3 linked regions of the Macaca fascicularis genome follow. The protein of the gene in region 2 purifies or fractionates together with the protein of the main gene of each other region. This does not show direct contact. Links are inferred from orthologs where the notes say so. Each region holds a gene or a part of one and is shown on either strand. Other genes may lie near its edges. The genes, in order: VAPB, OSBPL9 and VAPA.

The links.
Region 1: the proteins of OSBPL9 (region 2) and VAPB purify together in Homo sapiens (affinity purification with mass spectrometry; 7 studies listed by BioGRID and IntAct, counting the BioPlex papers as one, with this or other methods). This does not show direct contact. The link is inferred for Macaca fascicularis from reciprocal best matches to the Homo sapiens genes OSBPL9 and VAPB.
Region 3: the proteins of OSBPL9 (region 2) and VAPA purify together in Homo sapiens (co-immunoprecipitation; 5 studies listed by BioGRID and IntAct, counting the BioPlex papers as one, with this or other methods). This does not show direct contact. The link is inferred for Macaca fascicularis from reciprocal best matches to the Homo sapiens genes OSBPL9 and VAPA.

The regions. Positions count from the first base shown.
Region 1 is NC_088384.1:114,456,684-114,460,370, forward strand, and holds the start of VAPB (vesicle-associated membrane protein-associated protein B/C), read left to right. Parts: upstream 1-780; 5' UTR 781-1,012; coding exon 1,013-1,070; intron 1,071-3,687. UniProt on the Homo sapiens protein: Endoplasmic reticulum (ER)-anchored protein that mediates the formation of contact sites between the ER and endosomes via interaction with FFAT motif-containing proteins such as STARD3 or WDR44.
Region 2 is NC_088375.1:183,120,496-183,124,247, forward strand, and holds the start of OSBPL9 (oxysterol-binding protein-related protein 9), read right to left. Parts: upstream 2,614-3,752; 5' UTR 2,590-2,613; coding exon 2,425-2,589; intron 1-2,424. UniProt on the Homo sapiens protein: Interacts with OSBPL11 to function as lipid transfer proteins.
Region 3 is NC_088392.1:78,301,770-78,304,583, reverse strand, and holds the end of VAPA (vesicle-associated membrane protein-associated protein A), read right to left. Parts: intron 1,373-2,814; coding exon 1,214-1,372; 3' UTR 604-1,213; downstream 1-603. UniProt on the Homo sapiens protein: Endoplasmic reticulum (ER)-anchored protein that mediates the formation of contact sites between the ER and endosomes via interaction with FFAT motif-containing proteins such as STARD3 or WDR44.

The sequences.
Region 1 (3,687 bases), on a different chromosome or scaffold from region 2:
TGAGGTCAAGCAGATCTGGATTCTCCAGCAATTTTTAATTATTTAACTTACTTGTGTGGTTATTTATTCAAAATGTCTCTTCACTAGGCTACAGTAAAAGGATTGGAATCAGGTTAGCTTTTCTGATCATTGTATTTCTAAATATTTATTGCATAAACAAATCGAATTTACTAGTAAAAATTCAGCACAGTGCCAGTTGCCTAATAAACATTTAACGTAGAGTAGCTTGTATTTATTGTAGCTGCTGTTGTCATTGGAAGCATTCAGCAGAGTGATACGAAATAAGCAATAATTGGTAGTTTATTATATTTATAATTATTATTTACAAGACGTCACAGTGCTTAGCCCATATCACTCACCCATAAACATCATGTTTATACTAAGTACTTTGACTATTATTCAAAGTCTCTAACAGTGCCTGGCACTACATAAGCAAGAGAAAAGTGGAAGTTTATTCTAATTGTTGTTACTGAATAAAGCATTTAACACGAGGCTGGCCCCCAGCGGACCCTTAATAGTTTTCGCGGCTGCAGTCGTAGCCGGACTACAAACCCCGCCTCCTGAGCAGCGCGAAGCCCCGCCCCTTGCTGCCCTGCAGTTCCGCCCCCGTGGCTTGTACCGCGCCTGCGCACTGTCCCGGGTGGGGCTCCACGCGCGCAGCTTTAGTCCCCGCCCCTGGAGCTGGCGGCGCAGGGCGCAGCTTCCCGCCGCCCGAGCGGGCCAGCCTGCTGCGTGCGTGCGTGTGTACGCCTGTGCGTGCGTGCGTGCGTGCGTGCGTGCGTGCGTGCCGTCAGCTCGCCGGGCACCGCGGCCTCGCCCTCGCCCTCCGCCCCTGAGCCTGCACCGCGTAGAACGACCCCCCCCAGCGCGCGCACCCCGTCGAAGACCCTCACCCGTGCCCCGACTGGTCCCCCCTTTTTTGTAAAACTTAAAGCGGGCGCGGCATTAACGCTTCCCGCCCCGGTGACCTCTCAGGGGTCTCCCCGCCAAAGGTGCTCCGCCGCTGAGGAACATGGCGAAGGTGGAGCAGGTCCTGAGCCTCGAGCCGCAGCACGAGCTCAAGTTCCGAGGTAAGCCCCAGAGGCCGCCACCTTCATGCTTGCGGCCCCCGCCCCAGTGCTGGAGGGACGGAGTCCGGCGCGGCGGGTGACGTCGGCCCTCGTCCCCACCCCGACGGCGCTGTCGTGGGGGCCGGCGAGGCCGGGCCGGGCCTTGGCGCTCAGCGCGCGCCCCAGAAATGCGCGGAGCGGCCGGGACCCTAGAGGACTGGTGCAGGAGCTAGGGCCTGTGCCTCCTCCCCGACCCCCAGCCTCCTGGGACTTGCCTTCGAGGCACTTGTCACTTTGCCTTGTAACTTAGTGACCAGTTTGTGATCACTTTAGTGTGAACCTCCGCCGCTGCTGTTGCCTGGAAGGTTCTTCCCCTGCTCTGTGACAGTGTTGACCTCAGGGTTTAGTTGAGGTATCACCTGCCCAGAGAGGCCTGCTGTGGCCACCCAGCCCACCGTGCACACCTGCTCTCCTGCTGTCCCCATTCTGTCACTGTTTCGTGGTCAGCACCGCACTTTTCGTACTCAAAATCACTGTTTCAACACTAGAAAGGAAACTGCATGAGGACAGGCTCTTGTCAGTTTGCTGCTGTGTACCCAGCACACATTAGACGCCTAGGAAATACCTGTTGAACCAACAAATGAACCTCCTCAGGCCTTCTGATGGGATTGGTCCCATTTTCCGTTCACTGCCTCCCTCATGGTGCCTCCTGGATGCAGCTGAGGGAGGCTGCCAAGGTGCTGGGATCCTTTTGCTCCGCAGAGCTGCCTGGAGCAACACCTGCGGTGGTGGGAAACCATGACCCTGGTTTCTCCCAGACACTATTATCTCTGTAATTTGTGCCTTTATGTTTTCTATGTTGTTCTTTTTTTTTTTTTTTTTTTTCCTACCTTCACCAGGGCCACGAGGTAAAAGGTCTGACATGCTCATTCCTTCTTTTTGCTTGTATCCAGTGATGTGGAAGGCACTAGGGAGGTGATGGATGAACAAGACAGACAAGGCCTCTGCTCTCAGAGAGCTTAGCTTCCGACGAGAACAGACAAACCAGCACACAACATCGTTACAGATACGTGGAAGGCCCTGGGGAGGTGATGGATGAACAAGACAGACAAGGCCTCTGTTCTCATAGAGCTTACCTTCCGACGAGGACAGGCAAACCAGCACACGTGATCTTTGCAGATAGTGCTAAGTGCTGTGTAGGAAATGGAACAGTTTGACTCCATGGAAGTTTACTGTAGATTGGAAGGTCAGGTCTCCACTATATCGCTAGCAGCGGGCTCACAGTAGATGTTCAGCTGGTATTAATGAATGGCCAGAGGTTCTCCAGTTTATATGTCTTATTGGGAAGTAGTGTAGGGTAACTTATGCAAAGTTACCCAGTTGGCAAGTGGTACATTTGAACCCAGACTTCAGAGTTCACGCTGTTAACCGTTATGCTGTCTGATCGCTGGGAAATACTCCAGAACGGTGGCTGTCACTTTGCCTTCCAAGTTAACAATGTGAAATAACTCTGAATTTACAGAGAACCAAAGGCTTTCCAATTAAAATGAAAAAAAACAAAAAAACCCCACCAAACCTACCGGGGATCGAAATTCCAGGATAGTACTTGAGGTTTCATGATGCGCTCATGGCTTTCTGGGAACGCCAGATTGGAAAAGGAGGCCAGGTGGCTAAAGTGGTGAGCCATGGTTTCCACTTGAGTTGTCTGAAGTTCTTTTTCTGTCTGGGAGGCCTGGCTTGGCTTCTCCTGAGAATTGGTGGGTTCATTCGGTTAGTCCACAAACATTTACTGAGTACCTGATCTGTGTGTCAGATACCCGGAGAAGCCAAGTCATATCAGCTGTACTCTCCCATTTTCCCTCAACCTCCTCCCAGTACTTTAGGGAAGGGGACAGATGAGAACAACAGCCAGGACAGGACAATGATGTAGGGTAGTTCAGAGTGCCCCAGGAGCATTGAGGAGGTCAGCTCCTGAAGGAGGTGTCATTTGAGCTCAGTTATAAAGGTTGAGTAGAAGAAGGCTCAAAGAAGGAAAGGGTGAGAACATTTCAGACAGAGGAAATTGCATGCACAGAGGCACAAACACTGAGATGACTGGGCTCCTTTGGGATGCCCAGTAGTTCTTTTTTTTCTTTTTTCTTTTTTTTTTTTTTGAGATGCAGGTCTTACTCTGTCACCCAGGCTAGAGTGCAGAGACGCGCTGTCTCACTGCAACCCCCGCCTCCCAAGTTCAAGCGATTCTCCTGCCTCAGCCTCTTGAGTAGCTGGGATTATATACAGGCGTGTGCCTCTACGCCTGGCTAAAAATGTATTTTCAGTAGAGACGGGGTTTCACCATGTTGGCCAGTTTGGTGTCAGACTCCAGACCGCAAGTGATCTGCCCTCCTTGACCTCTCAAAGTGGTGGGATTACAGGCGTGAGCCACTGTGCCCAGCCACCACTAGTAGTTGTGAATGACAGCAACAAAGAAAATTTGTTGTGGTTGCCCGGCAAGATGGCAGACAAGGCTGGTGAGTAGACAAGAGTCAGACCTCAGTCCCTTTATGCATAGATGCAGCCAGTGTCCAAGTTAAAATTGTGTTGCTTCTCCTTGAGCAGTCCTTCCTTGCATTAACTTTCTGAAAACCCCCAAATCCCA
Region 2 (3,752 bases):
TTCACAAGATGGTACAATTCTCTGTTGTTTCTCTGTAAGCAAATACTTTAATATCAAAGAACTAGAAAAGAAAAAAAAATTCTAAACAGTCATTAGTGAGAAATACGATACTTCCTTTCTCTGGCAAGGATAATGTTTTAGGGAATCTAGTCTCAAAAAGAAGGGTAAGTATTGAGGGGGAAAAAAAGTATTTTTTTAAAACCCTATATTTAGCCAGTAAGAAAGGAGATATTTGTCCAAGTATTCAAAAACTAAAAGGGCAATAAAGCAGAAAAAGGATACATGAAAGGAAGAAAAAGAGGAAAAAGGAAGATTCTTTCTGGGCTAGGCATTCCCAAGAACCTCAGCTTGGGGGCCTCTCCAGTATGGTCCTAGATTCAGATCCACACAAATTTGGGATTTGTAAAGTAACTTAACTGCATAGTGCCACTCACTGAAATCACTCTATCTTGAATAGAGTTTATGGGATTTTCTGATTATCACATCTACTGAAACCCCATTATTACTTTTCCTTTATCTAAGCCATGGCTTTCATTAATTCCAGAGTTTTCAGGATATAATATTCAGTTGCCTCTCTTTCATGCCTACCTAAAGACAATCTTCAACAATGTGTTTAAGACTCATTAAGGTTTAGTCTTTTTTTCCCTTTAAAAACTATGTAAAGAAAGAAAGCTGACAGTTGAAGGATGATGAAAGTAATACTTTCACTTTTGCAAGCTTGCCTTTAGTAACTCACAACTTACACCTTTCTCCTTCCTGTAGTGAAAGTGAAGTTTAGTAGAAAAAGTCAATAATTTGGTATCCTGATTCCATCACTTAGTACTATGTGATGTTGGGCAAATTGCTTTAAAAGCCTGGAGCCTCATTTTTCAAAACTCTTACTGGGGATATTAAATGGAGATAATGAATAACCACCTTGCAGAGTCATTAGGAGTGAAATGAATTAAAGGACTCACTAAGCTACTATATAAGCTCCAGAGAAGAGGAACAGTAAATGTCTTTATTACTGTTGATTCTTGCTGGCATGAAAACGTACATAGCAGCTCAATGATATTTTTTAAATGAACAAATAAATTCAGTGTCCCCTTTCTCTCATCAACATTAACCCTTCTTCCATAATCATATGTTTTTCTTTCTGTCTTCTATTATTTTCTAAAGCTTTCTGGGCATTCTATTTTGTCCTTTTAAGTATTTTCTTCCCTCATATCAGCTATCGTTAACTATACACCATTCGGAGAAAGTACCTTTCTAAGTAAGTTACCTCCCTAATACCACCCACCCTCCATATCGAATGCGATGAGGGTGGAGGGGATAGTCAAAACATAAGATTCAAGGCCGCACGCGGTGGCTCACGTCCGGCAGCACTTTGGGAGGCCGAGGCGGGCGGAACACCTGAGGTCAGAAATTCAAGACCAGCCTGGCCAACATGGTGAAACCCCGTCTCTACTAAAAATACAAGAATTAGCTGGGTGTGGTGGCGCATGCCTGTGATCCCAGCTACTCGGGAGGCAGAGGCAGGAGAATCGCTTGAACCCGGGAGGCAGAGGTTGCAGCGAGCTGAGATTATGCCACTGCACGCCAGCCTGGGCGACAGGGCGAGACTCCGTCTCAAAAACAAAAAACCACACACACACACACAAAGCAAAACAAAAAACCACATAAGATTCATAGCAATTCATCTACTTGTCCATAGCCACCAACTCATGTTAACAGTGAAGCCCTGAACCCAGAATATAACTATAAGAGGACACTGCACTATCCCTTGTCTCTCTTCGCTGACAAGAGACTCGCGTGTAGGAAATCCTCTGCTCTCAAAAGTTAAGGCGTCGTTTGAGCTCGCCTCCCGCTAAATAGAGGGGTGCGTCCCTTGAATGAGACACACAACCTGAACCGACTGGAGGGATTTCGGACCCCCTGGTGTTGCCCGAGAGCTGGTCACCTTTGGACCTGTCCCGGCTCCTCCGGTCACTCTTCCGAAGACGCAGAGCGCTTCAATCCCTGGAGGGAAGCTAAGGGGTGCGGCCGGCTACCGGGCCTGGTGGGACAGTGTCAAGTCCACGACAACATATGAAGACGGCATGAACCGCACGACTGGACCTTTTAAGCCATGACTACGACCACCCTTACCCACTCACAACCATGCCGCACCCCACTATCGCTTAACAGCGGACCCTAAGAAAGAAACTTGGCTCACCCCCAACCCATAAATCAGACAGCTAGTTTCTATTTATTGGCTGCGCCCCTCTCTCCCTCACCCTCATTGGCTATCCGAGACGTAGAACCCTCCCCAACAAGGGAACCCTCTCGTACGGCGGCACCCCCAGACTAGCAATCTCAACTCAGCCACCTAAAACCCCGGTTCCCCACCTCCACCCAGGAAACGCGGCCCCGAGGCGCCTGGAGCTGTGCCCTCCAAGGACTCACCGTGTAGTAGGAAAGCAGTCCTGCATTGTAGTCCAGCACGAACCAACGGTACTGCCAGCCCTTCATCACGTTAGTCCATTTGCTCAGCGGCCCTTCCATGATGGACGCCATCTTGGGAGCCGCCAATGACAACAAACGGCCTGACGTCACTCGCCTATATGGCATTCAGCATGCGGGGGGCGGGGCTACAGGGGGCGGGGCGGGTTCGGGGCGGGTCCTGGGCGGTGCCGGCGGATGCTCCCAGCGATCAAGTCAAACATGCTTTCTTTGGGCGCCTATTGTGTGTAGGACTCCATTGCCAGGGATGCGAGAATGCAAACGCGAATACTGCTATTAAGATTATTTACAATCTATCATGGGATTAAAGAAAAAAGATTATGAACATATTAATAAATAATTTTACTGGCCATGATACCTTCCACTTCCAAAAGATTTCATATCTGATATTCATTTATGCATTCATTCCACAAATTCATTCATTTAATAAATATTCGCTATTTTGTGCTAGGCATTCTTCTAGGCATTGGGGATACAACAGAGCCTTCATGACAGGTGAGGGGAATGGTAAAATAAATAGTAAATTATATCATACATTAAAAAATCATATGTAGTCCCAGCTACTCGGGAGGCTGAGTCAGGAGAATGGCCTGAACCTGGGAGGCGGAGCTTGCAGTGAGCTGAGATCCGGCCACTGCACTCCAGCCTGGGCGGCAGAGCGAGACTCCGTCTCAAAAAAAAAAAAAAAAAAAAGGCCGGGCGCGGTGGCTCAAGCCTGTAATCCCAGCACTTTGGGAGGCCGAGGCGGGCGGATCACAAGGTCAGGAGATCGAGACCACAGTGAAACCCCGTCTCTACTAAAAATACAAAAAATTAGCCGGGCGCGGTGGCGGGCGCCTGTAGTCCCAGCTACTCAGAAGGCTGAGGCAGGAGAATGGCGGGAACCCGGGAGGCGGAGCTTGCAGTGAGCCGAGATCGCGCCACTGCACTCCAGCCTGGGCAACAGCGTGAGACTCCGTCTCAAAAAAAAAAAAAAAAAAAAAAATCATAAATGCTATGGAGAAAAACATAATCAAGGGAGGAGAGAGCGTTGGGGCTGCTATTTTAAATTCCCAAATTTAAAGGAAGGGAAGGCCTGAATGAAAAGGTAACTTTTAAGCAAAGAGCTGAAGAAAGTGAAGGAGGGAGCCTGGTGGAAGAGCCTTCCAAGACGAAGGAATAGCAAATGCAAAGACCAGATTTTAGGAGTGAGCGTGGCATCTTGAGGGATCAGCAAGGAGGTCAGTGTGCGTGGAGCAGTGAGCCAGGGAGAAAGTGGTGGGAGACAAGGA
Region 3 (2,814 bases), on a different chromosome or scaffold from region 2:
TAAGTGCAGGAAATATCAGACCCTGTAACACATACTTATACTGAAAATGTGTTTCACATGGTTTAACATTTGCAAAGGACAAAATCATTTTTCATAAAGAAAATTCCACAGGCTTGCTCAGTATTACCAAACTTCCATAATGAACATTATTTTGAGTGCCAAATTGGGCAGGAAAAAACACCTACTTTTAACTATTATGAAATATTATGGAAAGTAGTAAGACTTACTAGGCTGGTTAAAAAGTACTTTAAAACCAAGGAGAGTTAAATCTTCCTTGAGAACATACTCTCAGAACTTAAGAATGGGGTAAAAATCAGATGGAGCACAGCCATGCTGTACACGTCAACTCACTGAAATCACATAACTTCTATTCTCATGGACCTTATTTTCCGTTATCTTGAAAACAAACTGGTTATAATCTCCCAAAATACCAGCAGTACCTCAAAATTTAATCAACTCCTTTCCTGAACAGAATTAGGACTTTCAATTAAAAACACTGTAATATCCGAGAGGGTTTCAATGCAAGACAAACCTTTGCATCATAATTTCAAGTGACCATATATAGTGGACTCCCCTCCAATAACACGACAGACACAGACAAGCTATCGAGCAAGAATCTGTTAACAGTTTTATTTTTTTTATGTTAAATACCATGGGACAGGATTGTAAGGATGAAAAACTCAGTCAACAACTGCCTCACAAGGGATAAGAAAAATTCTGCCATGATATTAGCAAAGGTAAAGGAGGAAAAATTTACACTGTAAGAGGCACCATTTCCCCAAGGAATACCTCTTGGCATTTCCTGAATGAGTGGGATTAGCAATCTAAATAAATCATATTTCAAGAGGTAACAGCAACAGATAAAATTTAAAGGGATTATTAAAATAACATTTACAAGACTCTGAACAATTCTTGAACTCTTATTAAAACCACAAAGAAAGAACAATTCTTTATTTATGAATTTCATAAAGGACTGAATGTGCAACTGACATCTGCTAGTGATGATCGGTACTATACAATTTGTCCAGGAGCCGAACAGTTTGTTTTTATTGGGTTTTCTAACCGTGAGAGATCATTAAAGGCAAAGCCTATATGACGCTGTACACACAAAAAAATGGTCACCGCGGGCCGTACTACCAGTGAAATGGTAGGTAAACAAATCTTTTTCTGGTCAAGAGAAAAAAAAAAGAAATAGCACTCTGCATGCTTCACTCTACAAGATGAATTTCCCTAGAAAGAATCCAATGAAAATGGCTGCAATTACAACAAGAAGTGAAGGAAGAGGACTGGTGACATTATCTCTGAAGGATGCAGTTGAGGTTGATCCAGGTTTATCCGAATGTGCTACCTTTCTGAGCCTTAAACCTTCATCCTAGGAAAAAAACAAACACACAAAAGAGGTTTTTAAAAACAAGCATACTAATGAGACTACTGGAGCTAAAAATCTATAGGGACGGAAAGTAGATTAGTGGTTGCCTATGGCTGGGGACAGAAACAGGGATTAACTGCTAACCACATAAGGAAACTTTCCGGGGGTGATGGACATTCTAAAACTGAACTACAGTGACAGTTATAAAGTTCTGTATTTCAGTGAACTGTACACTCACAGTGGGTGTCTCCATGGGATATAAATTATACCTCAATAACACTGATTTTTTAAAACTGGAGCTGAGAAATGTATTCCTAAAAAATAAAAGTCAGATATGGCTATATTTACCTTTTATTTTAATCCCACTAAAAACATAATTAAAGAAGAGTACTTCCAAGGCGGCCCATGGTATTTAAAATCAGTTACATCTGTCCTAGCCCAGTCAAAAACTACCGGACCCGTGGTCTGCCAGTTGGGTTGACTGACCCACTGCAACTAAGGAACCGAAACAGCAGAGCCACAAGAGGGTATTCTTGCCAAAAACACAGATACGGTTGTCACAGAATTTGGGGGGAAGGAAACGGTTTAGCGTGAAATTTAAGTAACAGTGTTTTCACAAGCTCAAAGCAAAGCAGAGGGCTGTGTGTAAAGGGATAGCACCAGGTCTGGACTGCAAAGCAGAGAAAGAATACTGTTTCTTCAGGAACTACAAATTTAGATGAGAAATGTATGTAGGAAACCCTTATCTGAAGCTCTGCACCTGGAATGGAAACTGAGGGTGCTTCTCTGTGTCAAAACGACAGATCCTCCAGTCAAGAGTGGGCTGCTTCATCCTTGCTGATATGGCTTCACACAGCACTATGTCCTTAGAGGACAAGGTTTCTCAGAAGAAAGCAGAAGTCACTCCAGGCAGGAGGTTGTTACGACACTGTGTGCAATGTGAACCTTGGGAAAAATACTACTACCTGTTAACTATGCAGTTGTCTTTATCTGTGTCTGTTACCTCCCATGATTGTTTTATTGTGCTTATAAATAAACACTAACTAAAAGAGTACACCTAATGGCACAGTTTTATTTGCATTACTGGATTTTCTGGAGTTGGGTTTTTTTGGTCTCATGCTAATTAGTTCTATATAAAAACAGTAGTAATTCTCGGTTTCAGCTACACATCACAAACATCTACAGAACTTTTGATACTCCTGTGATTCTGATTCATTAGGTCTTGGGAAGGCCTGGTAAACTGTAACTTTTTAAAGCTCACTAGGTGATTCACATGCAGTGTGAATTAAGAACCATAGGGCTAGGGGAATTAAAACGGATAGTGAACAGACAGGAGCAAGAAAGTTAACATGGCAAAAAATTATGATGGGCCTGTGTATAAAATGCTAAAGGGTCTGAAATTCTGTAAGCCAGTGGGTCTCCAAGGTTTTTGTTTTATTTTTTTT